Elephas maximus indicus: one gene and its partners. The protein of the gene in region 1 interacts with the protein of each later gene in a biochemical or structural test. Links are inferred from orthologs where the notes say so. Each region holds a gene or a part of one and is shown in the gene's direction. Other genes may lie near its edges. The genes, in order: CTSB, CSTA and CSTB.

Evidence for each region.
Region 2: the proteins of CTSB (region 1) and CSTA form a complex in vitro, tested with the Homo sapiens proteins (3 studies listed by BioGRID and IntAct, with this or other methods). The link is inferred for Elephas maximus indicus from reciprocal best matches to the Homo sapiens genes CTSB and CSTA.
Region 3: the proteins of CTSB (region 1) and CSTB form a complex in vitro, tested with the Homo sapiens proteins (2 studies listed by BioGRID). The link is inferred for Elephas maximus indicus from reciprocal best matches to the Homo sapiens genes CTSB and CSTB.

What each region holds. Positions count from the first base shown.
Region 1 is NC_064840.1:38,998,965-39,009,788, forward strand, and holds the start of CTSB (cathepsin B), read left to right. Parts: upstream 1-6,233; 5' UTR 6,234-6,321; intron 6,322-10,824. UniProt on the Homo sapiens protein: Thiol protease which is believed to participate in intracellular degradation and turnover of proteins. Cleaves matrix extracellular phosphoglycoprotein MEPE. Involved in the solubilization of cross-linked TG/thyroglobulin in the thyroid follicle lumen.
Region 2 is NC_064819.1:12,915,382-12,925,887, forward strand, and holds the start of CSTA (cystatin-A), read left to right. Parts: upstream 1-5,475; coding exon 5,476-5,541; intron 5,542-10,506. UniProt on the Homo sapiens protein: This is an intracellular thiol proteinase inhibitor. Has an important role in desmosome-mediated cell-cell adhesion in the lower levels of the epidermis.
Region 3 is NC_064820.1:227,911,023-227,921,342, reverse strand, and holds CSTB (cystatin-B), read left to right. Parts: upstream 1-5,491; 5' UTR 5,492-5,612; coding exon 5,613-5,678; intron 5,679-8,969; coding exon 8,970-9,071; intron 9,072-9,492; coding exon 9,493-9,621; 3' UTR 9,622-9,918; downstream 9,919-10,320. UniProt on the Homo sapiens protein: This is an intracellular thiol proteinase inhibitor. Tightly binding reversible inhibitor of cathepsins L, H and B.

The sequences.
Region 1 (10,824 bases):
TCTAAAACAGAAAAGCAACACTTACATGTGTGTAAGTAAGTGGGAGTCCCAAAGACCACTTCTGGTCAGCCAATCTCAAGAAGGGAAGGGGGAATGATGCAATCAATCACGCATATTCATTGATTTGCTAGCTCATGACTATGCATTGAGGCCCCAATCTTGACTATGCAATGAAGTCATTAAAAGGCTTTGAACACAGGGGTTCAGGGGCATCTTGAACTGCCAGGAACATGTGCTTTTGGGAAGATAGCAGGTCCCTGAGGACAATGGAAGTATTGAATGAGGACCCCTCCCAGATCGAGCCCTATGCAACTCTTCATTTGTATCCTTTCTGGTTATAATAAATGGCAGCTCCAAGTATAGATATTCTTTTGTAAATTTTGTGAGCCGTTCCAAGGAATTAACAAACCCACAGAAGGCAATGAAAGCCAAATAGGCATTTACCTATTTGGCAATAGGAATGACTGAGTCCTTCTAACTTGTGTGCTCTAACTTAGCTCAGGATAGCTAGGTCAGAGAAAAGCTGTGCGAGCAGTCGATTTGGACAGAGTCCTTCAAACTTATGTGTCCTGACCTGGCTCAGTGTGGCTAGGATTGGAGAAGAGCTGCACAGGTAGTCAATAAGAAGGGCAGAGTCCCTCTAACTTGTGAGTTCCAATACAGTTCTAGCTGGTTGGAGGGAGAGTGTGCCATTCATTCAGGCAGCTAGCAAGGAGGAAAGAGACATGGGAAGGTGAGGACTGGATCCACTTCCACGCGGGAATTGGATTCATGCTGACCCTTACCACGCAATTAGCAATAAAAGTGGGATCTGCTCACCTTGCCCATTTATTAGTGTAAATAGTTTTTAAGGGGTTGTTTTCATTTTAAATTTTGTTTTTGTTTTGTATGCTTATAAGACCAGAACTTTTGATCCAACATGTTCTAATGAAAATTTTCAGACTGAAAGAATTTTACAGTGTATTTTACAATGAATACTGATATACCCACCACCTAGATTCTACTGTTCCCGGGTGGAAACCCCAGGTTCTGCTCAGCATGACTTGTTACAGACAATAAAGAAGAAGCTGAGGTAGGAGAAGAAAGGCACCTTTATTTCGTTGTCAAAGGAAAGGAACAATCAGGGCTGCTGGCTCCAAGACTGGTCACAGGAAGCTTAAGGAGGTGGGCTTTTACAGAGAGCAGACAAGGACATGCGAATTCATCACGAATATTCTGGATTGAGACTGACCTTCATGCAGGCACTCAGGGCTTTGGGATGACTATGCATTTTTTCTAGACAAATGTTCGATCCCTCAGGATGGAAGAAGAGGTTGATTTCCCTTTATTAGCATGTTAAATCTTCACCCAGGGGTGGGGTGAGGCCATCTATGATCTCTGCTATGGATATCTCGTCAAGGACAACTTAAGAAGGATGCGCAGCTTATTCTGCTCTTTATAGGAGAATAAGCCAGAGAAGGTGTCTCCTAGAAGGGGTGGGCTCTGAGGCTGTCTGCCTCACTACCATTAACATTTTACTGCATTTGCTTTTTTATCATAGATTATCCATCTATCTGAGCCTCCCTCCATCCATCAATCCATCCTTTTTAATGCATTTCAAAGTAAATTGCAGATACCTGTAACTTCCCTCTTTCAGAATCCATATCATTAACTAGAGTACGGGATTTGTTTAACAGTATTTTCTTTTGATATAAAGCAGACATGCAGTACAATGCCAAAATGCACAAATCTTAAGTGAATATTCTGAGTGTGCTGAAAAATACATACACCTGTGTAACCCAAAACTCTATCAAGAAGATGGTCATCACTCCAAAGTTCTCTCAGGCCCCCTCCCAGTCAATTCCCACCTGCACTATCCCCAGAGGCAACTACTGTTAAGACTTTTGCTCCACCATAGATTACTTTTGCCTGTTCTAAAACTTCATATAAAAGGAATCATACAGTATGTACTCTTTTGTGTAAGGTTTCTGTCATTCAGCATAATGTTTTTAAAACTCATCTATGTTGTTGCATGTGGAACAGGCTGCTCGGCCATGACATGAACAGGATCTAAGCCATTTTTCTCTCTTCTAAACTTATTCTTGACTGCTCAGTTCCTTTTTCCTTGTTAAGTTTTTACTAATGACTAATGTCCTTTTCAGACTGTAGAAACAAATGATATGATCTAAGGAAGTCTTATGACCACTGAAATCACCCCAGGAGACCCATCACCCCCTGGGCAGATGATACCTTGGGACCATAACCATCAAAATCACCTCAGGAGACCAGTCACCCCCTGGGCAGATGAGATGATACCTTGGGACCACGATCACCAGAACCACCCCAGGAGAGAATTACATTCCACAAGTTCCTGAAACTCATGATTTTGCCCTATAAATTTTTGAGCCAGTCTCCATTTGGGGGAGACAGGCTTTGGAGGAGATCATTCCCCTCTGTTTCCTGTGATTAATACACATTAAAGCTCTTGCTACTCACCTCGCCCTGTCTCAGGAATTGGACATCTGCGGCAGGCGGCTCTGAGCCACAAAATTACAGTAACATATGGAAACCCCGGTGGTGTAGTGGGTAAGTGCCACAGCTGCTAACCAAAAGGTCGGTAGTTTGAATCCACCAGGCACTCCTTGGAAACTTTATGGGGCAGTTCCACTCTGTCTTATGGGTTGTTATGAGTCAGAATCTACTCTATGGCAATTGGTATGGTATGTATGTTGTTGTATATAACATAAATAGATCCTTTTTTATTGAATATCCTGGGTGGTATTGTTGAATATCCTGCAGCTTGTTTATCCATTCTCCTATAGGTGGATACCTGGACTGTTTCCAGTTTTTGACTATTATGAATAAAGCAGCTATGAACACTCCCGTACAAGTCATTTTGTGGGCATGTGTTTTCATTTCTCTTGGGTAAATACATAAAATTGAAATGGCTGGGTCATTAGGTAAAGATATATTTAGGGTTTTGTTTTTAAAAAACTGCTAGAGTGTTTCTTAAGACAACAAAGTGCCTATACCATCTTACTTTCTCACCAACAATATACGAGAAGCCCTGTTGCTCTATATCCTTGACATTTGGTGTTGTTGGTCTTTTTAGTAAGACCAAAACTTTTATATATCTGGATATGGGCATTAGAAAATGGGAGGGGATGTACCATCACTTAACTCTGTATTTGTGGGGCACTGTAGTTGATGCTTTACGTGGAATCTAATTTTAGTCCTCCCAACAACCTGTGACATAGCTATTCTTCCCCGTTTAGAGGCTGGGAGAAAGGAAGTAACTGCAGAATGAGGATTCATATACAGGTTCTTCTGGCTCCATTTTTTATTTCTTTTTTCTTTTCTTCCCCCACATTGACTGGGACTAGTGAAGTAACAGGCTGTTAAGAAGGGAGATCCCTGTGCAAGGAATTGTTGTCAACCTTTTTCCGTTGATTAGAGCCCTACTGGAAGCTCAGGAAATTTTGGCTCATGGTAGAATATGGTGTTTCTGGCCCTGAGAGCTTGGATGACTTGGGATCGGGAATCGTGAGGAAGGAAAGAAATCGTCTTCCAAGACCTGCTTCCTTCTACCTGCTTGCGGTTCAAGGCGTTCAGTCTCCTAAAGAGCCTGAAAGTGAAATTAGGGGCCTAAGAATACCTTTAATAGGTTTGTATGCTGCCCTAGGCCTCTGAGGAAAGATAACTCTGGGACTGAATGGTACTGACTGCAACTAAAACTCCAATTATAAATCACCATGAGTCAGAATCTACTAGAAGACAACTGGTTTGATTTGGTTTGGGCTTAAATGATATCCTCAAAATAGCCTGTAACCATGGTCTGACCCAAGATAACATTCTGTCCTTAGGAACGACTAGGAGTCCCCTAGTCAGTTCCCACCCAGCCAAAGCGGCCTCAAAAGATAGGCCTGGAGAATTGCTTCCGAAAGGTCATAGCCTTGAAAACTCTATAGAGCAGTTCTACTCTGCACACATGGGGTTGTCATGAGTCGGGACTGACTCAACAACAATAGGAAACAACTGTTATGAAATCAAATCCCACTTCTCTGAAACCGAGATAAGGAATATAATCAAACCAATTCCAATCTATTCCTAATTGCAAAGGCAATACAATACTTCTTCCTCTGACCCTAACCACCTGGAGCTAGGTCAGACCTCATAAGTTAAAGGGCACAGTCCTCTAGACTGCCAAGTCTTCAGATGCTACCCTGCAAGCTTGGTAGTCCCTGGGCCCCCTCACTTCTGATCTGCTGGCTTCCACTACTCCCTCAGGTTTGATAGTTTGCTAGAATGACTAGGGAACTCAGGAAAGGGCTATACGTACTATTAACCCATTGCTGTCGAGTTGATACCCTATAGGACAGAGTAGAACTGCCCCATAGGGTTTCCAAGGAGCAGCTAGTAGATTCAAACTGCTGACCTTTTGGTTAGCAGTCAAGCTCTTAACCACGGTACCACCAGGGCTCCTACTTACTATTACACTGTTATTACATAAAAAAAGGATGCAAATGAAGAGACAATGCATAGGGAAAGCCTGGGAGAGTTCCCAGTGTAGAGCTTCCACAGGAAGTGTGCCAATGGGACCCTGTGGTACTTTTCCAGGTTACTTACTTGCATTTTAACAACAATCTCCTGAGGACAAAACACCTTGACCAAAAAAACAAGTCACTCTTTGTTACATCCTAAAGTTCCATCACAGACTCTCTGGCCCATGGCATTCATGAGTGAGGCATGCTCTATGTGGCAACTCCTGTTGCCTGATGAAGCAGAAAAGAGGCAGGGGCCTCAGATTCACTCAATCTAGAACTTATCTGAGTGCCTTTTTCTTCATCTGTATAATGGGGAAATCTTTCCTATATGATACGGTTGTTTAAAATTTTCTTAAAAAGATGACAAGAGTCTATTCATAATACCCAAAACCAAACTCATTACTAGCTGAATTAATTTCAACTGATGGTGTCCCCATGTGTGTCACAGTAAAATTGGGCTCCACAGGGTTTTCAATGGCTGATTTTTCAGAAGTAGATTGCCAAGCCTTTCTTCCAAGGCACCTCTGTGTAGACTCAAACTTCCAATCTTTCGGTTAGTAGCCAAGTCATTAACCGTTTGCTCCACCCAGACACTACATCAGGAGTCACCCTATGGGTAATAATACCTGGGAGTAAGAACTGGCCAATACCAAATCTGACTCCACTGTCAGCTATTAAAGAACTCGCTGAATATCAACAGAAAACACTAATTAAAAATCATTCGACCAAGGAATCTAATTCCCTGGGATTTGGAAGCTGTCAGAAGGATGTCTGTGGAAGCCAGATTTACAAGAGTTTGTAAAATAAGGGGAAAATAAATCAGACATTTCTTCAAAAAAATCACCTTTTTACAGAAAAAAAGAGATGATAAAGCAAACTGTTTCTACTCTATCAGCCTCTCCAAGCCACTCACCCAAATAAACTAAGTAAAAGCAATGTACTTGCTGTGCATGCATGACTTCAAGACAGGTCTTCTGACGCCCTTCTTCTAACCAGATTTTGACCCCTAAATGCCCCCTCCTCTATAGAAATTCTGACGCAGCTCCTGGAGTTGGTACTCGATGGTAATAGCTATTCCTTTCATTATTACATTGCTGGAGTATCCTATAGATATCTCAAGATATCAACGCTAAAGGCTAACGTTAAAAGGCTATTCTGTGAGCTCCCGGAGGCCGGCTGTCTTTATATCCCCAACACTGGCAGTGGATTCTGAACGGAAGAAGCGACAGCGAGTCCTTCCAATGCAGGGATTCAGCCGGCTTGAATACAGCCGCGTTTAGGCCGCAGTGGCCTGGGGAATTTCACTATGCTGGGTGGAGTCTTTTGGGGGTGGAGTCCCGAGTTCCTTAGGACCACCTTCCGCTACCAAACCTAGGGAGTCCTTCTTTATGCCTCCCCCAGGCCCCAATCCCGCAGATTTTCCCCTGTCCTACGGCAGAAGCTGGGTGGCTGCAGGCTTCGGTCGGAGCCGCCACTTCTGGAGCCCGGCCTGGGGTTCCGGATGCCCCCTTCCTTGGGCTGGCGACCCCAGCGGCGCGGCCTCTCGCAGGACTTAGGCCAATGCGGGGCCGCTGGCGCCAAGGCCGGGAGGCCTCGTGCGCGGCGGGTGCGGAGCCCAAGCCTGGGCGTCCGGGCCCCGCAGCGGTCACGTGGGAGAGTCAGCCGAGCGGGGCGGGGCGGGGCTGGGCCGGGAGAAATAGGCGCGCCGGGCGGTCTCCGGGAGGATACCGCGGCGGCACCGGGATCCGGCGGAGTACGCTCGGCGGCTGTAGGCTTGGGCTTTCGGCGGCGAAATTCGGTGGGTGCAGGCGGAAGGGCCGGGGCTGGCGGCGCGGCATCTCCGCGAGCTAGGGTGGGTTCTGGGTGCTTGCGGCCGTGACGGAAGTGACCTAGGGAGGGGGATGGGAGCGCCTGGCGGGGCCGCACCGAGACCTGGGTGGCTGGCTGCGCCCCCGCCACAAGTGCCCACGCCAGGCCCAGGTGCCGCCTGGCTGTGTCCCTGGGAATTGGCAGGGTGGGGAGGGGGTCGCGGCTGGCGGTAAGCGGGGACCCTGGGGGCTGTCGTTGCCAGGGCGAGCAGAAGTGGCACCCAGTGGACCCCTAAAAGTCGCCGTAGTGAGAAAAACAAAAACAAAATATGCAGGCAGCCAGACACCCGTCCCCCCACTCCGGCCGGGAAGCTTCGGCTCCCCGGCCGCTTGCCCCCCAGGGTTGTGTTCCGGTGAGCTCTCCAGTCCAGTCAGCCCAGTGACACCACGATCAGCCCAAATCCATAGCCCGGTCCCAGAGGCCGCTACACGCCGAGCCCGGGAGTTTGCGGGGAACTCCAAGGGAGGATCCTTCGAGAAAGAGTATGGCCGTATCCGGTGACTTGGCCAGAATCTGGCTCCCTACCCAAGCCCTTTGCCAGCCGCGTGACCTTGCACAGCTTACTTTTGGGCCTCAGTTTCCTCAGAGCAAATAGCTGAGTTAATATTATTGACCTAAATCTATTTTTGTATTTTTCCTCCTTATTTCAAAGGGTTTGCCAGTGCAGCTTTCTGCACACAATCCCACACAATTCCAGGGACCCCAGAGGACAGGGTCTATTAAAAACAGGAACCTAAAAACTGGGTGGAGTAGGATGGAACACAAGTGAGTTAAATCCATAGACAGCAGAGGGGAGACTAAGCAGAGCAGAAGGATAGGAGACTGTTGTTGTGTTCCCTCCGTGGATTCCGACTGTTAGTGGCCCCATGTGACAGAGTAGAACTGCCCCATAGGGTTTCATAGGCTGTAATCTTTTAAGGGAGCAAATTGCTACTAGCTCTTTCTCCCATGGAGAAAGCTGAGTGCTTGACCATTGTGCACCGGGGCTTCTTGGAGACTGTATAGGGGGTGTGGAAACCTTAGACCCCACTCTCCCTGGGGACGTAGGAGGGAGGAGGAAAATGCTGCTCCCTACTCCTGGACTCCAGTAGAAGGAAGACAGTGCCTCCAGGCCCAGGGTAGTGTGGGAGAGTGAGTCCCTCAGTTAAGGACCCTGGAGGCCTGAGAGGGAGTAGCTAGAGACCAGTGGGAGATGAGTGATTTGGGGGTTCTTCAGGGAACATGGGATGAATAGACCAGATGGATGTGAATTGAACTTTGCTTAGTGGGCCAAGCTCAACCCCTTCCCCAGGCACTAGGAAGGTCAGTAGACTGGCACTGGGAAAAGGACCATAGCCCAGGCCCCACATCCCTCCAGCTGACCCAATGGAGATCTGCATATCCACTGGGAAGGGGAGGTTGTGGGGCTCAGAGAGAGACCTAGCACCTTTTGATCCCTAAGTGCCCACTACCAAAGGAGAATGCAGCTGAAACACATTCTATATTCTATATGACTGCATCTAGGTGGATCAGTAGATTCAGAAAGAAGGTGGAGAGGCCTGGAAGGGTGCCTGGTTCAGTAAAGGACACTTTCTTATTCTTCACAACTTCATTTCCTTTAATAGATAATTGTTCCCTATTTGTACTGGTGATGATTGACCTAGGGCCCTTGAGCCTTGAGAAGAAAGGGGCTTTCCCAAAGAGAGAGTTTGAGGTGTACTGGAGAAAAGTGATTTCCACCCTAACCTTTTTGGGCACTTGATCTAGAGCTGGGGGCACTCTTGGGTGGAAAGATGCAGATCGCATATCTTGGTGCATCACAGGCTTGGTGGAGGTGACACAGGGCAGACACAGCCCTGACTCCCCTTGATGTTGTTAGGACAACGCTGTTTTCAAACTGGTCAGGTGATAAGGAGTAGAAGCCCTTTGGCTCCAGGAGGGAAACTGCCTATCTGGTGCTGGTTCAGCAGCTTGGGCAGAGGCCAAGCTCCTTTTTCCCTTTGTAGACAAGTTCTTTTTTTCCTTCCCCAGCCGCTGTACCTGTGAGTTAGAATAAGAAGTTATACACATTTTAGGGGTGAAGGATGTTTTATATTACTATTGGCAGTTGGATTAAGTGGAACAGAGACCAAGTTTCAGGGGAGCCTTGGGTCCTTAAATGGCATGGGTATCCTGTATTGTAGAAAGTTGGAAGTTACTTCCTGGTCAAATAAGTAGGGGCAACCTTTGCCTTTCTAGAGACCCTGGGTGGTGCAAATGGTTAACACCCTTCGCTGCTAACCAAAAGCTTAGAAGTTCGAGTCCACTTAGAGGTGCCTCGGAAGACAGGCCTGGTGATCTACTCTGAAAAAATCAGTCCTTGAATACCCTGTGGCACACAGTTCTACTCTCATACGCATGGGTCACCATGAGTTGAAATCAACTCGACGCCTGGACTAGTTTTTGTCTTTTGAAGTTACAGAATCTTCAGGACATCACTAGAGCCTCCTCTAAAATGGCTTGGTTAATCAGGGAGGTGCAGAGCCCTTGCAGCTCAGCCTTTCTGGGCCTAGGGTAGTGGTCAAAAGGGAAAACACCTTTTCTATTCGCAAGTAGAATATGTATCTCCACAATCTCACCTCACTTTTAAGAAGCAAAGAGATTTTCGACCAAAATTTTACATGCATTCAGAACCATCGACTAATTGGCAGAGGCTGCCTTGACTCCATTTCCCAGAAGGGAAGTATGGCACCGACTCATGGTTGGTGAATCTGACTCAGAGAAGGAACAATATCTGTTCTTTGAATACTTTTACTAGGAAGGTTTCTGTTTTGCGGTGCTGGCTATGCGTTTAGAAACTATACATTCATTGTAGATGGTGTTTGCAAATCATAGAGCTGGAAGAGAAAGAAGGGGAGATAGGCAATGGATGACAAAATTAGGAAATCAGTATATATCCCCCCACTCCAGCTTTGTCCACCAAAAGGTTCTAGAACCAGCGTTGCTCCAGAAGCAACAGACAGACCTATCACCTTGATTTTGATTTCTGAATGCCACTTCTCACTAAAATCAGAGCTCCTTGAAGAAATGGCTGTTTCCAGGTCTGGGGTAGGGAAAGTATAGAAGTACACCTGGAGCATCTTGCATCACAGAGCAAGGAAATCCTTGAAGACTAATAGGGTCCCATCTAAAGGATTGGAAACCCCAGTGACGTAGTGGTTAAGTGCTACAGCTGCTAATCAAAGGGTTGGAAGTTGGAATCCGCTAGGCGCTCCTTGGAAACTCTATGGGGAAGTTGGAAGTTACTTCCTGGCCGAATAAGTAGGGGCTCCCTTTTGTCTTTGTGGAGACCCTGGGTGGTACAAATGGTTAACACCCTTGGCTGCTTTTTATAAAGTAACTCCAGCTAATTGATGTAGAAAAAAATGAATAGAATTATAAATTGACCATGATGTAACTCCACTGTGATAACTGATACATGATGACATCATGAAGGGTGCTCAGTCATCCTTGGATCATCAGCGATTCTAACTAAAACCCATGGGTGAAAGGGTATTGGTGAAGAGGATAGTCACATGGTATCAAATTGAAGTATTATCCCATAGATTACTTACAAATTACAAAAAGGAAAGAGTTGCAAACAGTAATGAAGAGATCTGGCAGTTGCCATCTTAAACAACAAAGAGGTCAAGCTTGGCATCAAGTCCTGACATTATATGCCTTTAGACGAGGTATGGTGAATTTACCTAACATCACCTATGGAGTGGTCTTGCCAAAATGTTTGACCCAACTCTAGTCGTGAGAATAAAAGTTAGATGAATCCGGGATGTAGAACATTCTGCAGGAAAACTAGCCTGGACCTTTGAAAGGATTCAACCTCTTTAAGAGTGGAGGGAACAGGGGCAGGACTGGCAAAGAATGGGGAAGATAAAAGAGATAGAACGGTCAAATTGCATGGTTGTGTAGAATATCCCTTGTCCTGGGGAAATGTTATATAATGGACTGATATATTTAGAGGTGAGGAGTCACAATGTCTGTCGCCTGTTTTTGAGAATTTGGCGCAAGAACAGGATTAGAAATATATGAGGTTGAACTATATGAAATTAGAATTTTTATAGCTTATCTTCTCTTGGTTTATGCCCTCGTTTTGCACACTCCATGACCCCCTAAGAAAGGGGGCATGGGAGGTGAATGTTAAGTCCTTGCATGGCTGTAACCCACCCTACTTTGAGTGGAGTTTTTTTTTTTTTTTTTTTTAGGAGGTATAGGAACCAAATTCTATTACATTTTTAGACTTTTAAACAATCCTCATGTGTTTAGCCTCACAGCTCATCCCCAGCTTCCACTTCACCAGGTGCCTCTAAGTCTTAGGCTTGTCTGGGGTTTGCAGGGTGATTGGGCTCACTCTTCATGGTGGCGCCTGTCTGCAGGCATCAGATTTCACTTCCTCTGCTCTACTATGTCAGGTACCACT
Region 2 (10,506 bases), on another chromosome or scaffold:
GAGGCGGAGGTAGAGACAAGCTTAGCCTGTCCCCAGAGCTAAATGAGGCTGGTGCACCTGGTCTCATCAGATGATTCTCGTGAGATGAGGTTGGAGAGACAGGCAAAGACTGAGTTATGCAAGGCCTAGTCCATGGTAAGGGGCTTGGGCTTTTTATTTTATTTTTTTTTTAAGTTCAGTGGGAAGATACTGAAGCCGTTCGTCCAGGGGAGTGACACCATCTGACTTGTGTTTACAAAAGATCACTCTGAGTCTTGTGTGGCAAAGAGATTATAGTCGGACAAAAGGAAAGAATAGAGACCAGTCCCGGTTTTTTGCAGTTTTCCAGGCGAAAGAATCAGGTGGTTTGGGTAGGAACAGTGGCATGAAGAGATAGAAACAAGATACATAGCAATTTTTTAGCAAGAAAAGAGAATTTTCTGATGGACTGGATTTGGAGACAAGGAAATAAAGCATGATTCATGTTTTCTGGATTGAGCAGCTGGGCGAATGACTGTAACCTTTACTGGGAAGCAGAAGACTCTGGAAGGAGGAGTCACTTGTAATACAGGGTGATGTCTACACTACAGTTATGACTGAATACAGAAAACGACTCATAGCCAAAGCCCAGATCTTTACTCAAACCTAAATCACTCCAGCTGCTTCCTGCCTATCCCTCACCGTGGTCCTCCACACAGAATTTTATTTGTAATATTTCATTGTTCTGATCCACCTCTTTACCCCCCTCAGGCTCTGGAAGAACGGTGCCTTGGCTCTGGCACCATTTATTGATTCTCCTTCTTGTATGACAAACTACAGAGAAACAAAAGTTGATACTGAAAGTTTGTGGAAGGTACAAAAGTTTCTTTGCCACAAATCACAAAGATTTAGTTGTTCCACTTACAGTCTCCGGATCCAGATAAAAACGGAACAACTAAATCCTTATAATTTGTGGCAAAGAAATTTGCAAGAACGAATCATATTAAGATAGGAATTATTCAATTTATTTGAGTATGTAGTTTTCCATTTTTATCATTTTAAACCTTTTAAGGAAGCAATAATAATTTATTGAATCCATAAAACCAGTGTAGGAAAATTAGAAAATTCATATTACTTAGGCTTTTTATGAGAAAACAACTAGTTATTTGTCAGAAAACAGCTAGTTTTCCAGAGTAAGTCTTAATCCCATTAAAGTGTATCAGAAAATTACTGAAGTATTTTATCGAGAAGGCTAATTTCTTCCCAGAAAGAGATGATGAGTTAGGTCATGCCAAAAGGTTCTGTCCTGGGCCATATTTGAAAACCATTTATGTGAAATTCTTATACTTTTTACTAACGAAACAAGACAGAAATTGAAATTATTGGTGACAACATACTAAAACACAATGGATTCAGATTAAACAAGACCTTCATCTACCCAGCATTGCTTTTTGTTCTTTGTGCTCCAAAGGCCACTGATATGTCAATATTCTCCAACCCCCTCTCCTGCTTCTTCATTACTGGGATGATAATAGCCAGTCTAGCATTTTTTTATTTCCTAAGACTTTTTTTTTTTTTTTAATTAAGCTTTAGATGAAGGCTTACATAGCAAATTAGTTTCTCATTAAACAATACACATATTGTTTTGTGACACTGGTTGCCGACCCTGCAACGTGTCACCACTCTCCCCTTCTCAACCTTGTGTTCCCCATTTCCATTCGTTCAACTCTCCTGTCCCCTCCTGCCTTCTCATCCTTGCCCTGGGGCTGGTGTGTCCCTTTAGTCTCGTATACATGGTTGAGCTAGTATGTTATTGTTTGTTTTATGGGCCCGTCTTATCTTTGGCTGAAGGGTGAAGACTTTTTATAAGGTATGATTGAAAATTAAATTTCCATGACTAATGCCACTCTGAAAATGTCAAGGCCCTTTATTTCTGATTTCCACATTATATTAGTAAGAACTTGACTAAATTCTTTTGCAAGGTCTTCATCCTCCCCAGCTTTTGCCTAGAAGGGGAGAGGCGGTCTTCTTTTCCCAATTATGTCTTTATATTTTCAACATCGACCTTCTTGTTTAAACCTGCTCTTCCTCCCGTATTCCCAGAGTCTACTAATAGCACAATCATCTTCCTGGTCATCCAAACAAAATGCCTCATTCAGTCACCTGACTCCCTTTTCTCGCCCCACTCACCTAATACTATCTTTACAAGTTGTCCATACCTGTCCCATTCCTCTCAGCCGATTTGCCGCAACATTGAATTATGCTCTCATTAACTTTTAATTGTTCTATGGCGGTAACCTCCTAGTTGATCTTTCTTTCCCCAGGATCTTTTCCTCCAATCCAGTCTACACGATGCTTCCAGTTTTATCTTCCTAAAGCACAGGCAGCCTCTGTAACAGCTCATAATTTTCGGTGACCTCTACTATCCAACAAATTAAGTATAAAAAATCTTACCTGGCTTTCCATGACCCATCCTCAGTCAGCCTTCCCTCCTGCTTTCCCCCTTCAGGAGCAGAGCCAGGAGTGACTATGTCCTCCCCTGAGCCCACACAGGGCCCTTACAACTGCTTTTCAAGCAGTACGTTGACAAGTGGTAGTGAAGACTTTACTGAAAAAATGTTAGAGGACACAGTGTAAAAGTAGGACCAAGAGACACAGAAAGTGTTCTCCTTCAGATTATAAACTTCTTAAGGGCAGATGTGCATCCTCAATTTCCCCTATTCTTTCAGTCTCTAGATTTTATTTATATCCATATACTTATATTTATTAAATGGTGTATTAAAAATATTTTTGAGTGTATCGGAATACTTCAAATACAAGTAACAGAATACCCAACAGTGGCTTAAACAATACGAGCATTTATATGACTTAACAAGAAGGCTGGAATAAGTGACTCCAATTTAGCAACTCAATAATGTCCTCAATATCCTCTTTCCATCTTTACGATCTGCCATCAGGGGCTTAGCAAATCTCCCTCATGGTCACAAGATACCTGCAGCAGCTCCAATCATTCCATCCTCACGGGACAATTCCAAAAGCAGAGAGGAAGAAGCAGGAGCTTTGTCCTTGCACATGTCTCATATGGGAAAGAAAGCCTTCCCCAGGAGCCCCCAACAGGTTTTTCCCTTAGATCTCATTGGCCAGAACTAGGTCATGTGGTCTTCCCAAACTGCAAGGAATGCTGGGAAAGTGAGTATCTGGTATTTTCAGCTTCTGTTGAGGGAGGCAGACTCTAACCATGAGGAGGAATGGAGAGGGATAGCTGTAGGGTAGGTAGCAAATTCAGTGAGAGAGTACGGTACATTCAGACTTTTTTTCACTGTGTCTTGCACAGTCCTAGAGCCCTGATGGCACAGTGGTTAAGAGCTAGGCTGCTAACCTGTAAAAATGCCATCAAGTGGATTCCGACTTACAGCAACCCTATAGGACAGAGTAGAACTGCCCCATAGAGTTTCCAAGGAGCGCCTGGTGGATTTGAAATGCCCACCTTTTGATTAGCAGATTGTCTTAGTCATCTAGTGCTGCCATAACAGAAATACCACAAGTGGATGGCTTTAACAAAGAGAAATTTATTTCCTCACAGTAAACTAAAAGTCCAAATTCAGGGTGTCAGCTCCAGGGGAGGGCTTTCTCTCTCTGTCGGCTCTGGAGGAAGATTCCTTGTCATCGGTCTTTTCCTGGTCAAGGAGCCCAGGTCCAAAGGGCGCGCTCTGCTCCCATTGCTGCTTTCTTGGGAGTATGAGGTCTCCGACTCTCTGCTTGCTTCCCTTTCCTTTTATCTCTTGAGATATAAAAGGTGGTGCAGGGCACGCCCCAGGGAAACTCCCTTTGCCTTGAATCAGGGAGGTGACCTGGGTAAAGGTTGTGTTACAGTCCCACCCTAATCCTTTGAACATAAAATTACAATCACAAAATGGAGGACAATCACAGAATACTAGGAACCATGGCCTAACCAAGTGTGTGTGTGTGTGTGTAGTTATTTAGTCATATATTTGAATGTGTAAAGAATAGCTCTGAAAGATACACAAGAAGCTGGCAACAGTGATTGTCCCTGGAGAGAATAGAAGGGGGGCTGAGGGATAGGGTGGGTGAAGAAACCTTATATTGTAACCGCTTTTGTTCATTTTTATCATGTGTTCGTGCTACATATTCCAAAAACTGAATCAAGTAATATAAATAAATATTTACACAACATAACAATTTTGCTTCTGCCTGCAGAAGCCCTCACACATGTACAAAAAGGGGGAAAAATATTGTTTATAAGGATGAAAAACTAGAAATGACCAAAATCTTCATCAGTAAGAGACTAAGCATGTAAAAAGTGGAGTAGTCATGATAGAATAGCATATAGCAGTTAATGGAAATCAGTTAGAGTCATCTAGCTATGTATCAAGGAGCACTGGTGATGCAGTGGTTAAGTGCTTGTCTGCTAACCAAAAGATTGATGGTTCAAACCTACCAGCTGCTTCTTGGAAGAAAGATGTGGCAGCCTGCTTCCGTTTCCAAAATTTATAGCCTTGGCAACCATATGGGGCCTATAGAGTTGCCCTGAGTTGGAATCGACTAGGTAGCAATGGGTTTTGGTTGTTTGGATCTAAGTATCTACACGGAAAGACTCAAAAACATGTTGAATGAAAAAAAAAGCATAATACAGAATATGTGTAGAGTATACCATTAAGTAAAATTTTAAAAATATTTATGTTGAATTGGGAAATGTGCTACGTACATTTTTATAACAATAAAAATTTTTCTGTTAGAAAAAAAGTTCATTAAAACGATAAAAATCAATTAGAGAGATACCAAACTCACAATAGTAGTCATTTTCATGGAGGGCAGGGAAGACTTCAGGTGTATATACCTGTAATATTTATTTCTTTAAAACGACTACAGAAAAAGATAGAAATCAATCGTGATCGAACGTTAAAAATTTTAATTCTGGAAGGTAGGAATGTAGGTGTTTGTTATTTTGTGTTTTGTGTTTTTCTGTATGTACTTTCAACATTTCTTAGAGATTTAAATAAAAGTAAAGTACAAATATCTAGCCAAGGGTCTCCAAATAGATTCTTTTCTTTTCTTTAGAAAGTCAAGCAAATCCTAACAATCACCTTTGATACTACTAACAGGTATTGGTTAAAAAAATAAAATTTTGTGTTAAAGGTTTTAGAACACTTGGAAACTCTGGTCCTAGCTTCAGGTTTCATACCCAGCTTCCCAGGACAAAACCATTGTCCAAGAGAATGTAGGGAAGTCTCATTCTTGATACAGCATGACTCTTCGTGCACACCCATTTGGTCATCCCCCAGCCCCTTTTCCCAAACCTATATTACGACACTTTGTCGAGGAGGCAAGAAGACTTGTCTCAAGGCATACTCGTTTTCTGTGTGCTGTTTTGCTCTTTGTGGAAATAAAACATCCCATAGGCGGAGCTTGTGAACACCTGTTTAAAAACTCATGTCTCGGCACTAGCCTGATCATTGACTCCCAGCATTCTGTTGTGCAAAGAAGCAATTAGCCAAAATGATGCCTGGAGGCTTAACAGAAGCTAAACCTGCCACTCCAGAAATCCAGCAGATTGCTAATGAGGTGAGTTGATGCACCCCATGAAAATGTTTGATCCAAAATCCTGATTCTTGCTTTGGACACAAAAATCTAGAATCTTGGGGAATATGTGGCTTTGTCCAGGCTTCCTTACAGCTAAAAATGTAATCCTGAGCTTCTCAGATGAGACCTCTAAGAACCCCAACACTGTCAGAGTGCCTGTGAGCAAGGCACATCCCTTCTCTGAGCCTTAGTTTCCCCATTTATAAAGGAGGAATTTGTTTCGGACCATCTCCAAAGCTCTCCCAGCTCTTCCGATGTCTGATTTTGGAATTACTCAGTTTCTGATGAAACTTTTCTAATCTCACCGAGTGGTGCCACCATGTAATTAAAGGCTGTTAACAATTAGCCTTCAAAACGCACTAGAGGGAGATTTTTTAAACGGTTTGAAGAACAATATTGTAAAGGTGACCCTCTTACAAACCTTCTACCAATTCGCCTAAATAGTGTTTTCATCTTTTCGTTAGAGGATGACAAAACTAGTAGAAAGGGGCATAGTCCAGGATGATTTCACATGTTACAATTTGATTATGGTGAAAACAGAGCTCAATGTTTTTAACGAGTTGATACTTTTTTCTAGGTGTCGTTTGATTAGTTATCAACTAATCATGATGTAATAAAATGTCATTGTACTGTACCACCTGTGACAGGAAACTACATATAAATCACTGTTTTTGCTTAGTAATTTGTTACCTTACTTTCTTGTATCATTCCTTCTGGATTTTTTCCTCTAAAACGTCGTTCCATGACATTGCTTGGCAACAAGATCATCTTCTTGTGTGAGTCCACTCAGGTTGTGATCCTCTGCATTGAAAGACACTGGAAAGCTCTCTAAGGGGCCCAGATATCATTCATTCTTTGGGGTTAAATATTTCCCTTTCCAGGGTTCTTTAAAGAAAAAAAAAACAAAAACCTTGAAGCTTGTTTTTCTTGGAGAAGTTAGTAGTAAGTCAATAAAAAAAAAAGACCAAACGCATTGCTGAGTCAATTCCAACTCATAGTGACCCCATTGGACAGGATAGAACTGCGCCTATCGGGTTTCCTAGGCTGTAATCATTATGGAAGCAGGCTGCCACATCCCTCTCCTGCGGAGCAGCTGGTGGGTTTGAACCGCCAACGTTTTGGTTAGCAGCTAAGCAGTTTAACCACTGCACCACCAGGGCTCCTTAAATCAATAATACATATCAGGAATCCATGGGTGATACAAACAGTTAAAGTGCTTGGCTGCTAACCGAGAGGTTGGAGGCTGGCGTGCACCCAGAGGTGACTCGGAAAAAAGGCCTGGCAATCTAACTGCTGAAAAAAGTCTACCATCGAAACCCCTATGGAGCATAGTTCTACTCTGATATACATGCAGTCACCATGAGTCTGAGTCACTCGTTGGCAACTGTAAAAAAACAAACATATTAAGTCATAAATACTGTCATTTGATTTCCTGTAAGAGGTCACTGTTCTCAAACTTGAATGTGCTATGATTCCCTGGTAGTCTCGTTAAAATGCAGATTCTGACACAGTAGGTCTGGGGTGGGGCAAGAAAAGTTCTCAACTTCATTTGTAAAAGACAACCCCTCTTGCCCTGCCAGTCTCAGAAATGTACAGATTCAATGAGGTAACGTGCACAAAAAATACTGGAAAATGGAAAAGAAATATGCATAGATGGGACATTACAACGTTTACTTCAAATTCTTACCTGGAATCATCCCTGACCCTGGAAAATTCCCCTGAGACTCTCCAGAGACCAGAGCTATAGAGAGGTGGGGAACAATTAAAAAACAAAAGCCTTGCCAGGAGTCAGTAACTCATAGTGACCTTACAGGACAAAGCAGAACTGCCCCCCACAGGGTTTCCAAGACTGTAATCTTTTATGAAAGGAGCCCTGATAGTGCAGTGGTTAAGAACTCAACTGTTAACTAAAAGGTCGGCAGTTTGAATCCACCAGCCACTCCTTAGTAAACCCTATGGGGCAGTTCTACTCTATCCTATGGGGTCATTATGAGTCAGAATAGACTTGATGGCAACGGGTAATCAATCTTTACGGAAGCAGACTGCCACATCTTTCTCCCTCAGAGTGGCTAGTGGGTTCAAACCACTGACCTTTTGGTTAGCAGCCAAGCACTTGACCACTGTGCCACCAAGGCTCCTTGGGGAACAATAAACCAAAACCAAACCCAGTGCTCTCGAGTCGATTCCGACTCATAGCGACCCTATAGGACAGAGTAGAGCTGCCCCATAGAGTTTCCAAGGAGCACCTGGTGGATTTGAACTGCCGACCCTTTGGCTAGCAGCCGTAGCACTTAACCACTATGCCAGCAGGGTTTCCTGGGGAACAATAAGGGTTTGGAATACAGAGGACACAGAAAGTTTTAATGATTTTTTTAAAAAAAGCCTATCATCTGGTTAGCAAAAATAATTTTATTTTAAACAAGAAACCTCCAGAATATCTTGAATTGTTAGTAACACCCATCTGTGAGCCACAACTTGAATTATAAAATTAATTTGAAAGTCTGTTTCTTACTGTTTACCTCAGGCTCCAGCTCCGTCAGAGAGGTAGAGTGAGAGATAGGTATTAACAATAGCCCCCAGAGATCTCTTCTTTTTCCCAGAGATGCCTCGAAAGAAAGGCCTGAGGATCTACTTCCAAAACACCAGCTATTGAAAACCTTGCGGAGTACAGCTCCATTCACTCTGTCATTTGATTTTCATAACCCCTGGGACAGCTAAGGAAGGCATTACATCCATTTTTCAGATGATGATCCTTAAATTGAAAAGGTTAATAGTCACCTAGTTAAGATGCTAACCTGTCTCCAGGTTTTCACTCTCTTGCTCTATCATACAATGCCAGGAGGGAAAGATACTGGTGGGAAAGTGTGCGATAAACTTGCCTGCTCTGTCCAAGTAGCCAGTCTTACATTTAAAACCATAAAAACCAAAAAACCAAACCCGCTGCCATCGAGTCAATTCCAACTTATTGTATTCCCTTGTTGTTGTTGTTGTTGTTAGGTGCCATCGAGTCACTTCTGACTCACAGCAACCCTATGCACAATGGAACAAAACACTGCCTGGTCCTGTGCCATCCTCACAATTGTTGCTATGCTTCAGACTATTGTTGCAGCCACTGTGTCAATCCACCTCGTTGAGAGTCGTCTTCTTTTTCGCTGACCCTGTACTTTACCAAGCACGATGTCCTTCTCCAGGGACTGATCCCTCCTGATAACATGTCCAAAGTATGTAAGACGTAGTCTCGTCATCCTTGCTTCTAAGGAGTGTTCTGATTGTACTTCTTCCAAGACAGATTTGTTCTTTCTTTTGGCAGGCATGGCATTCAATATTCTTTGCCAATACCACAATTCAAAGGCATCAATTCTTCTTCGGTCTTCCTTATTCATTGTCCAGCTTTCACATGCATATGAGGCAATTGAGAACACCATGGTTTGGGTCAGGCGCACCTTAGTCTTCAAGGTGACATCTTTGCTTTTCAACACTTTAAAGAGGTCCTTTGCAGCAGATTTACCCAATGCAATGCGTCTTTTGATCTCTTAACTGATGCTTCCATGGATGTTGGTTGTGGATCCAAGTAAAATGAAATCCTTGACAACCTCAAATTCCTTGAAAAATAAGGAAAAAAAAAAAAAGACTTCCTCGACTGGTTGAGACTAGAGGGCTCCCCTAGACTATCGCCCTGAGATATTCTTTAAACCTGGAACCCAAAATAACCCTTGAGGTCACCTTGTATCTAAAGAGATTGGCTTACAAAATAAGGAATCTCTCCCATAAGTACTATGCTCCTTCAAAAAACCAACTATATGCTTCATGGGAGAAGAATGTGGTCTGCTTCCCTAAAGATTTACGGCCCTTGGAAACCCTCTGGGGCAGTTCTACTCTGTCCCATAGGGTCGCTATGAATCGGAATCGACTCAACGGCAGTGGGTTTGGTTTTGGGGGTAACGGCGAAAGCTCTGACATTGTATGTAAATAATCATTAGATGAGAATTCTGTGTATGTGTATTTGCAGAAAGGAAATATCATTTCAATCATTTTTTAAAAAATAAGGGCTATAAGCACACATACACAGTGTGTACACACACACCCCTGTGTCATAAAATGTGGCTGCCGAGTAGCATTCCTGACAGCACACACAGACCATGATTTTTTTCTGCCAGAACATCACATAGACACCTCTTCTGCACCCATCACTGGCCCACCCTGCAGCTTGGCATTTCATGGCTCTAAGTCCCCCACCCACAGATTTGTGTTCCCCTCTCTGACAGCAGTCTCCCCAGCCTCCTCCACGCCCCGGACACATGAAGAACCTGCTGTTCAGCCACACCAGAATCCTCCGGGCACTCACTCACCCTCCCGTCTTCGTTAGCACATGCCTAGGCCCGCTCCATTACTCACCCAGCCCTGGACACCATGCTGGATGGCTTCCTACACTCCTCAGCTCCACCCCTGATTTCCATGACCCGGTGAGCTCCTGACGTTCCAGTCCTCAAGTATAGAGCACTCCCACTGACACTGCTTCTTTCTTGGCTCAGAGAACTTGGCTCAAGGAAGATGCAGAACCACAGAAAACTCGCCCTTTATAAACCTGGGAATTCATGCCAAGCAACTGCACCAGCACCCTGGGGGCTACCAGAAAATCCTTTCAGTCATATCCCTTTAGTCCTTTCCCAGAAACCCCACAGAGAGGGAGCTGTACCTGCTCTCTCCTCAGTTTCCCAATCCTATCCCACATGGTCCTTTCAGCAGGGTGTCTCAGTTCCTGCTCGTCTTAGAAGATTGTGGTCATCTGGCCAGGGAGCACCCCAGTTTACCTCACCCTCCACTTGATCTCATTCCTCCCCCCGTCTTAGGCCCCTATTCTTTCCTTTGTCAGCCCTTATTTTCTATGCCACGAGCCATTTTTTCCTGCCTCCTGGCTACACATACTCCCTCCTTCCCTTGACGTAC
Region 3 (10,320 bases), on another chromosome or scaffold:
AGTCACCACTTGATCAAAGGTTGATGCTTCACTGTAGCAACCTCCTTTGTGTGCGGCACTGGGCTAGGCCTGCAGGGAACCCACAGACAAAGGCAGTGTCCTCGCCCAGGCAAAGGACACCTAGAACAAGTGCGTGCCACCAACACCCTGGCCGGGGAGGGAGGGGTCATAGAGAAGGAACCACCTCTTTCTTTGCCTGTGTGAGGGGCAGAGGCAGGAGCGGCCACCCTCTGCCAGGAATGGTGAGAAAAGTGAAAATGAACCAGAGGAGTGTCAGCTGAAGGGAGGGAACGTGGAGGCCCTGAGAGCCAGGCAGGCCTCTGCCGACAGGGTGGGAATCATGGTGTCATGGACTGAATTATGTGCCCCCAAAGATGTGTATCAATTTGGCTGGGCCATGATTCCCAGTATTGTGTGATTGTCCACCATTTTGTCATCTGCTGTGATTTTCCTCGGTGTTGTAAATCCTACCTCTACGACATTAATGAAGCAGGATTAGAGGCAATTATGCTAATAAAGCAGGACTTAATCTACAAGATTAGGTTGTATCTTGAGTCAATCTCTTTTGAGATACAAAAGAGAGAAACGAGCATAGAGACAGAGTTACCTCATGTTCCCAAGAATGAAAAACCAGGAGGGGAGCACGTCCTTTGGGCCTGGGGTCCCTGTGCTGAGAATCTCCTAAACTAGGAGAAGATTGAAGACAAGGACCTTCCCCAAGAACTGGCAGAGAAAGTCCAAGAGCTGGCACCCTGAACTCAGACTTCTAGCTTCCTAAACTGGGAGAGAATAAACTGCTAAAGCCATCCACTTGTGGTATTTCTGTTATAGCAGCAGTAGATGAGTAAGACAGATGATATTACAGAATGTTTATTTTCTTAGATGTAGCAATAGTATTCTTTAAGTAGAAGTGTGAGGCAGCAAGCTTTTTCTGTAAAGGGCAATGTGTTGGGATCACCCCAGTGTCAGTGATTCACTAGGACTCACAGGACCCAGCATACAGCTGTACTCATGGCTATAATTCATTACAGCGAAAGGACACAGAGCAAAGTTAGTGCGGTGCAGTGAACTACTAAATATGGCCCTTCTAGCCATAGTCTTTGTGACTCCCACACAGTGCTTGGGTAGAGCCATGTAAATAATGCATATGAAAAACCCTAGTGAGGTGTGGTGGTTGGTGTTGTGTGCTGGCTTGGCTAGGCTATGATTCCCAGTACTGAGTGGCTGTTCTCCATTTTGTGATCTGATGTAATTATCCTCCATTTTATGTGTTGTAAGTCCTACCCTCTATATGTTAATGGGCGCCCTGATGGCATAGTGGTTAAGAGCTACAGCTGCTAACCAAAAAGTTGGAGGTTCAAATCTACCAGCTGCTCCTTGGAAACCCTATAGGGTAGTTCTACTCTGTCCTATAGGGTCACTATGAGTCAGAACCAACTCAGCAACACCTAACAACAACAACATATGTTAATAAGGCAGGAGTTGAGTGGGGTGTATCTTGAGTTACAGCCTTGGAGGAGGCTGTGACTCAAGTCCCACTCTCACTCAAGTCATGCTCTTCCCTGGGGTGTAGCCTGCATCCAATGTGTATGTGTGAGTGCTCTGGCTGGGCTCTCTCTCTGCATCTGGATATGAAAGCAATTATTAATTTAGTCAGCAAAGAGCAAAGGCACATGGCATGAAGCCTGCGGGACACCAGGCACAAGCTTCCAGAGTCCTCGCCCATGGAGTCACACAGGACTCACTTAAGTCGTGACAACGAGTGTGAAATAGTACCAACCAAAGAAGCTCATTAGAGACTCAGTGCCCAGGGTTTCGATTGGGCGCAAGTCACGTAGGCACCCTCTGCCTGGCACATACCAAAATTCCAGACTTGCAGAAGGAAAGCAGGTGTTCAGCAGAAACCACCCCGTTTGTACACACAGCTGAGGCACACAGGGAGCTTCGCTTATCAGGGGATAGTGGGAACCCTTCCAAAATCCAAGTTCCCTGATGCAGCTCAGGGCCAGCCTTGAACATTGCCCTAAGGACAGAAGTCAGGCCTGCTGTCCTAGCTCTTTTCTGCACAGGTCAGATAGCAAATATTTTCTACATCGTGGGTCAAACTCTGTTGTTGCAGTGCAAAAGAAGCTACCATATAGACAATATGTACGTGAATAGGTGTGGCTGTGTTCCAATAAAACTTTATTTTCAAAAACAGGCGAGGGGCCAGATGTGGCCCGTGGACCACAATTTGCTAACCCTTAATGTAGGAGAACGTCCCTGTTATGGATTGAATTGTGTCCCCCCATAACATAGGTTGAAATCCTAACCCTAGTTCCTGGCAAGTTGATAAACGCTTAGTTGTTTAAATGCTTTGTCTTAAATGCCCACCTTCTTTTTCCTCTTAGTCAATGAATTTCTCTGGCTAGAATTTAACTAGCAACACATTCTGATGATGAAATTTTTGCATAATGAAAACACAATCAATTGATTTTGGAATAGGGAACAAGTCTATGCATCATTTGTCAAGAGTGTTAAAGGCAAGCAGAGCAAAAACAACAACAAAAACCCAAACCGAATTGTCTTGCCTGGGCAGAAGGGATGATGAGACAAGGCGAAAAGAAACCATGGGACCCACTTAACCTAGAAAAACCAGAGATTTCACAAATGAAATCTCAAAAATAGTCTATATTTAAGAAGACCAGATTTATGGTCTGACTGAGACTGGAGGGACCCCAGAGGACATGAACCCAGACTCTCTGTTAACTCAAAACTAAAACCATTCCCAAAGCCAACTTTTTAGACAAAGATTAGACTGGACTATAAGACAGAAAATGATACTGGTGAGGAGTGTGCTTCTTCTTAGCTCAAGTAGACACATGAGACTAAGTGGGCAGCTCCTGTCCGGAAGCGAGATGAGAAGGCAGAGGCGGGCGGGAGCTTGCTGAATGGACATGGGAAATACACGGTGGAGTGGAGGAGTGTGCTGTCACATTGTAGGGAGAGCACCTTGGGTCACATAACCTTGTGTGTATAACTTTTTGCTTGAGAAACTGATGTGAATTGTAAACTTCCACTTAAAGCACAATAAAAAATAAAGAAAAAATAGTTTACATTTAGAATTCTGAATACGAATTTCATATGTAAATGATATTCAAAAGTCCTTGAGATAGGCCTAGGGAGACAGGATATTTGGTCTTTACTCCTGGTTTCAGTAAGATGGAAAACTGTTGAATCAAGGAATTGGAGGTAAATGTCGGTATTTTCCAGGGCCTCTGGATAGAAAAAGTAATACTAGTAATAGGTAAGTAAGACTTAGCTTAGTATACTGATTATAGACAATAACAGTACTAACAGCTCACCCCAGAGCTCGGACACTGCCCAGGTATTTTATACTTATTAACTCATTTAGTCCTTGAAAAACTCTTTGAGGTAGGTGATAAGTTGTCCCCAGAGAGAAGCACAGAGAGGTTCAGCAATTACTCCAAAGCCATGCAGCAGGTAAGAGGCAGGGCTCCTACCCTCCATGGCACCTGCTTAAAAATATCAAGACCTGCAGCAATAAGGCAGCTTTGATTCCATTAAGCAGGTATGAAAGACTGAAGATGCAAACAGATGACAGACCATAGGTGATTAGAGAACTCTGACCCATGACCTTGGGAGCCCTAAACAGTCAGGACTGGTGAGTGAGTGCCAGTTCCCTATTTTTGGTGTCCCCACTTCCATCTCAGGATCAATCAAACCAAACCCATTGCTGTCGAGTCACTTCTGACTCATAGTGACCCTACAGGACAGAGGAGAACCATTCCATAGGGCTTCCAAGGAGCGGATGGTGGATTTGAACTTCTGACCTTTTGGTTAGCAGCTGAGCTCTTAACCACTGCACCACCAGGATCAACCAGAGAAAGCCAAGTAGGCCCTGAACCACACAAGACACATGCTTCTAGTTTGCCCACCTCCAGCTTTCCCATGCCAACTCCCTCCACCAGGGCACACCTGAGCCTTCCTTCTTTCCACAGCTTTATCCAGTTTTCCCACTCCGCTGTCTCCCCCTGAGTCTTTGCCAAACTCAAGCGATGGTGGCTGACTCCCTCGCCACGGTAGCTCTGAATACATAGCCAGCTTGTTCTCATTTGGGAGGTGTCTTTGCTTATTTCCACAGGGTTACTCTCTTGTTTGTAAACTCTGGGCACCTGCAGACCCACTCAGAGGCAAGGTGACTTCTTTAGGTCAAAACCTTCTGCAAGACAAGGATCCAAGCCTGGCAGCTGCAGGATGGAAAAAGGTGACAGATTGGCCTTCCTCTCCCTCCTTCCAAAGCCTTTATTATTTTTTTCCATTTAGAGCAGTTTTCCATTTGTGTGGGGTCAAATCTGTCATTCCTTCAGCAGTCCTCCCTGCCCCAGGACTCTAACCCCACCTGAAGTTCCAGGTCAGGGCTCTGTCCTGCAGGTAGAGAAACGCCCACCTCCCACACCCACCTGTTCTTAGACCACTCCTGCTCTGCCCTGAGGCCCTGGCTGGCCCCTGAGAAGCAGAACCTCATGGGATCTGCCCAGTTCCCAGTGAGGTGCCAGGCATAAAGGCGTAGCCCTGGAGGGGGTTTGAAGGGGAGAGTTTGGGACTTTCTGAAAGGCCATCATGTCACAACAGCTCCTAGCACAAGGCCCACACCTGTCCCAAACAAGGAGGACCCATCCCTTCTCCAGGTGGTTGAGTCTAATCTAAATCCCTAACACAAATCCTGCCAGAACCAAGCCCTTTTCTGCTGCGCCCTGACCTGACTCACATCCTCCACCCTGGACAGCCAACCTCGCTGGACCCCCTTTGCGCCTCCGGTCCATCCATTTCAGTCTTTGCTCTGTGTGTCCCCCTGTGCGGGCCCTTAAGGAGCCGGTCTGTTTGCAATGTCCACCGCGGCCGACACAACATGCTGGCACACGGGGTGGGGACAGGGTGAGGGGGGCCACTGGGTCAGGCCTTGCAGACGGAGGGCCCAAGACGGGCGGGACGCGGGGGACGCGGGGGACCGCCGGGGCCGAGGGCGGGTGCGTGCCTTCTGACCCTCGCGGTGGGAGAAGCCCTCAGGCAGCCCCGTCCCCGGTTCCTCCTGGCTCCCTCTCTCCAAGGCAGCAGTCAGTCAGGGCCGTCTCCCCGGATTGTCTCGGTTATTCCAGAGCCAGCCCTGTCCCCGAAACGCAAGCTGGTCAGGGTCAAGGGTCGAGCCAGGCTGGATAGCTCCGGTATCTTCCGTCTCGGGGAAGGAGCCCTCCACCCCTTGTGACTGGGCCGCCGCCAGGGTAGGGAGACACCAAACCCCAAGTGGGGGGGACGCTCCCCTACAGAACCCGGGGCCTTCGTCTGCAGACGGCGCCCCTGCCCTGCGGCCCAGTTCCTAACGGGCGGTGGCCACCTGTCGGCCTCGCCCCCCGCCGCGGGCTTTGGTTCTGCCCACTCCTCAGGTGACCTTAACGCCCGCCCCTCACGTGACCTGCTTCCTGCCCGTCATGTGACCGCCGCCACCGCCTACTTAGCGCCCGGAAGGTGGCACCGCTTTGTCCCTTCTGTCTGGCCGGCTGTGTCCACAGGCTGTCTGCTCCGCTCCGGTCGTCTCCAGTCCCGCCGCCAAGATGATGTGTGGAGCGCCTTCCGCCACGCAGCCAGCCACCGCCGAGACCCAGGAGATCGCTGACAAGGTGAGGCCCGAGACCCCCGGGCAGCCTGGGAGCCGACCCCTCCCCACCCCCGGTCGGAGAGGTCCAGGGTTTTGCTGATGGGGGCTGAGAGGGTGACTGACGGGGTGCACCTGCCCCGAATTTAATTCCAGACAAGTGCACGGGAGTCCTCCCCAAAGGAGGACCCAGGAAGGGGGCCAGAGGACAGCGCGGAGTTTGCTGGGAAGTTAGGACTGCTATCGAGGCCGCCACCGCCGCGTTGGGCGGAGCCGGTCCTTCCTAAAGCTGAGCAAAAGAGAAATAGGCAAGGGAAAAGGGGGGTGCTACGGGGGGGATGCTCAAATATATCTTCCCTGAATTACTTGGGGAGAAAAGGGAAACTACCTTGCCCTTTGCTTGGAAACGAGCCAATTCTAGTGACAGGAGGCCCCTCCAGGCACAGGCTGGATTGCAGCAGGTGCAGAGCTTGGCTAAAACCTGAGCATCTCCTTGATTGCTCCCTGCCTTTGTTTACAGATCTCTAAAGTGGGTGTAGTAGCAGTGTCTGGCTCCAAATGTTGTGGTGAGGGTTAAATGAGTTAAGAGTATAAAGTGCTTAGTATTCCGTTTAAATCAGGTTTGCTCTACTTGCCATGATATGTTAACAAAATCAATTCTTTACACACTGGTCAGTAAACAAGAAACATTCAGCCCACATCAGAACTCCCCAGGGAAAGGTAAAATAAACTTCTTCCTCTTTTAGCTTTCCTCCCTGCAGCCACTTCTTCATAAATCCTCTGGCATGTGGTCAGCCCAGCCCATGTTACAGTTGCGCAGGTGGTTTACCATCGGGCAATAAAGGGCGGTGAGTCAGACCCATGCGACGGTTGAAAATGCGGAATTTGTCCAGAGCACGCATGCAGGCTTGTGTGAGCCGCGCCTAGCAGAGTGTTCTCCACTCTTCCCCATAGCCAACCCTCTAGGCCTAGGCCTTCCTGACCACTTTCCTACTGTTCCAGGCCTGAGAAATGTCTCACCTGTCAGCATCTTTTACCAGGCAGCATGAACTTCGAGTATGTGTTAAGTTCTTGTTGCAGCCAGGATAGAAGCGTTGTCGTCTCAAAACAAACGAAAAACCAGTTGGTATTGAGTCAACTCCAACTTGTGGCGACCAGAGAAGAAACTGTGCTCCACAGGGTTTTCGGTGGCTGAGTTTTCTTCTGAGGCACTTCTGGGTGGACTTGAACTTCCAACCTTTTGGTTAGCAGCCAATCATGTTAACCATTTGCAGCACCCAGGGACTCCTGCCAACTCATGGTGACCTTGTGGGACAGGGTAGAACTGCCCCATAGGGTTTTCAAGGCTGTAATCTTTACAGAAGCAGACTGGCACATCTTTCTCCCACAGAGCGGCTGGTGGGTCGAATCGCCAGCCTTTTGGTTAACAGCCAAGGGCTTGACCACCGCACCATCAGGGTTCCTTGCTATCTCAAAACCTGTTGAAACCCATTGTCGTCGAGTCGGTTCTGACTCATAGAGACTCTATAGGACAGAGTACAGCTGCCCCATAGGGTTTCCAAGGAGTGGCTGGTGGATTTGAACTGTTGACATTTTGGTTAGCAGCCGAGCTCTTAAGCACTGTGCCACCAGGGCTTCTGTTATCTCAAAGGGGATCCTTAATTTGGTGTCTGTCACATGAAAGTGGGCAGTAGCCATTGCTGTCGGGAGAAAATTCAGAAAAGGTATCACAGAAGCTGGCCCACCTCCAGGCGTTTTCTGAGAGAAGGTGGGGAGGAGAGAGGTAGGAGCGTATACTGAGCATGTCTGTTGTCTGACCTCGTTGAATCCAGACAGGAGCACTCAGTGTGTGTGTTGCTGTCTCCCGCCTACAGATGGGGAAGGCGAGGTCAGAGGTGCAGACTGACCAAGGTCTGAAGGACTTAAGAGACCACAGGTTCTGTGACAGCCACATTGTCCTTGAGTATCCTCCCTGTGCCTGTTCTTGTGCCCCTGCCCTGCCCCACCCCACTCCTGAGGGCTGTTAACATAACAGCGTCCCTCACGAACCCTACATGCCTTCTGTCACTGTCCTTTACTAAATTGGAGCTGTCACCCCGTCAGCAGTGGCCTGCCTGGCACTCAGGGCCTCCACGTTCCCTCCCTTCAGCTGGCACCCCTCGGGTTCATTTTCACTTTTCTCACCATTTCTGGCAGAGGGTGGCCGCTCCTGCCTCTGCCCTTCACACAGGCAAAGAAAGAGGTGGTTCCTTCTCTATGACCCCTCCCTCCCCGGCCAGGGTGTTGGTGGCACGCACTTGTTCTAGGTGTCCTTTGCCTGGGCGAGGACACTGCCTTCGTCTGTGGGTTCCCTGCAGGCCTAGCCCAGTGCCGCACACAAAGGAGGTTGCTACAGTGAAGCATCAACCTTTGATCAAGTGGTGACTCAGTGGCATGAAATACCGGGTGACTCCTCTTATTTCCCAACTAACATTGTCCTTTCCAGGTGACCCGTTTATCCCCCAACTAAAGCACTTTCACGGCTTTTTTCTTTCAACACTCTAAGCCTCCAGTGACTAGTTTAGCTACATCACTCCAGAGTGAATCAGTATACTCTGAGTGCCAGCAGTTAATCTAGACAGCAGCCAGGGCATCTTTAAACTCAGTGAGATTAAAAACCAAACTTTCTCTCTCCTTCTACCGTAAAGCTGATCATCTGTTAAAAAACAAAGACCCTAGAAAACAGAATTGGATCAAAGTGCACTTACTGTTGAATACTTAGGTTAGGATGGCACTGTGGCCTGGAGTCGTCTGAACATGCAGGTAAAGTGCCTTTCTCCTGCAGAGTCATTGCCGGATCACTGAGAACAGCAAAGAGGAGAAAGAGCCTACGTGCCCACAGTAGGGATAATGGTTAAGATAATTAAGGCGCAGCTATGAAATGGAAGATTAGCCTTTATAAGTTACATATGGCCTTTCAGATGAATTGTTCACAGCATGTTAAGAAACAAAACACCCGAAAAACCCAGGATGAAGCTTGGCTATGCTGTTGTAATGATAAAAATGTGAAAACGCCCCACGCCTAGAAAAGAAAGGTAAAACTATCATTAAAACTTTGGTAGAATTAATAAGAAGGGTATGCTTTTTTTTTTGGTGCTGTTTTTTTATCACTAGAGCTAAAAGTTACAAAGACCAATCGCGTTGTACAAAATACTTAAAGGCTTTGACGTTGGAGTTCAGTTTATGAAACGTAACAGGAGACATGAGACCTGTGTGTGTGAGTCCCTCTAGCAGAAGGGAAACCACCAGGTTTTTCTATTCTGTTCCCCTTCCCTAGGTCAAGGCCCAGCTTGAAGAGAAGGAAAACAAGAAGTTCCCTGTGTTTAAGGCTGTGGAGTTCAAGAGTCAGGTGGTTGCTGGGACAAACTATTTTATCAAGGTGGGCATCTTTATCAGGGGGAAGAAGAGTGCCTGACTTGAAGTGGGTGTTCATTGGGGAAGCAGCTTATGAGACTGTGGCAGCATGATGGGAGAGGTGCTTAGTGGGGGGGTCCTGTGGCTGCTCCAGGCTTCAGGGGGGTCGTAGGCCCCTAAAATGAATGTTTGCATGCTGAAGAGAAGGACTGAGGCTCTGATGGCAAGCTGAGCACAGTGGGCTATGGTCACAGGCTTCTGCCATGTGTGAAGGAGGTTGGTGGTAGTTGTCCTGAGGACCGGGCAGTTGTGGAGGACTGGGCGGGCTGGCTTCCACACAGTCCAGGGCTGCATCCCCTCACCTTCCCTGCCTGCACTCAGTGGAGGAAAGGAGGGAACTCGGCCGAGGCTGTGCCTGTGCCCCTCACTCACCTCTCTCTCCCCAGGTTCACGTGGGTAATGATAACTTCGTGCACCTGCGAGTATTTCAGAGTCTGCCTCATGAAAACAAGCCCCCGGCTTTGACCAGCTACCAGACCAACAAGGCCAAGCATGACGAACTGACGTATTTTTAATTCCTGGTTTTGAGTAGGGCCCTTTGTCCACATGACGAGTATGTGGAAATGATTCTGTCATCTGTGAGCGTGTTCCTGGGGCCAGAAAATAAACGTCATCTCCATGTTGTGCCACTTGGGGGGTGGGAGGGTATCAACAGTTTCCCTTGTGTCTGTTTGTAATTGTTCATTGTATTCCAGTGAATACTCAGAGCGAATCAATAACCAGTGCTCACCAATAACCTGAACAAAATGATTTCCAAAGAAAGCTAGATATTATCTTTAAGTATCTATTTTTAAAGTCTTTTTGAGAACTTCCTCTCTTGTTGTGTGTTTTGTCTTCATCCTCAACTGGCATAATGATCTAAGAATGAAGCAGGGAGAGTGCTCTGAAGTCCTCTCCCAGCTGCACAGCCTGACTATGCCCGGGAGCCACTGTGTCCCCCTGGGCTGCTCCATGGCAGCAGGTTGTGGTCAAGTATGTTATGTGGCCAGGAGGACTGCCTGCACCGGGTCACCTGTCTGGTGGCACAGGCTCATTCTCACCTGTCTCAGCTCTCAGCTGTGTGGGTGACAGGATAGTGGGGCAGACCCAGGTAGGTGTGTCTTGGGGTAAGGGTTGTGGAGACAGACCCGGGGCGAGGGGAGGAGCTCTCCCACTTTCCCTCCAGAACTTTCTTCTTCCCTCCCCGCCCTACTCTGTGCAGGGGCTGACCAAGG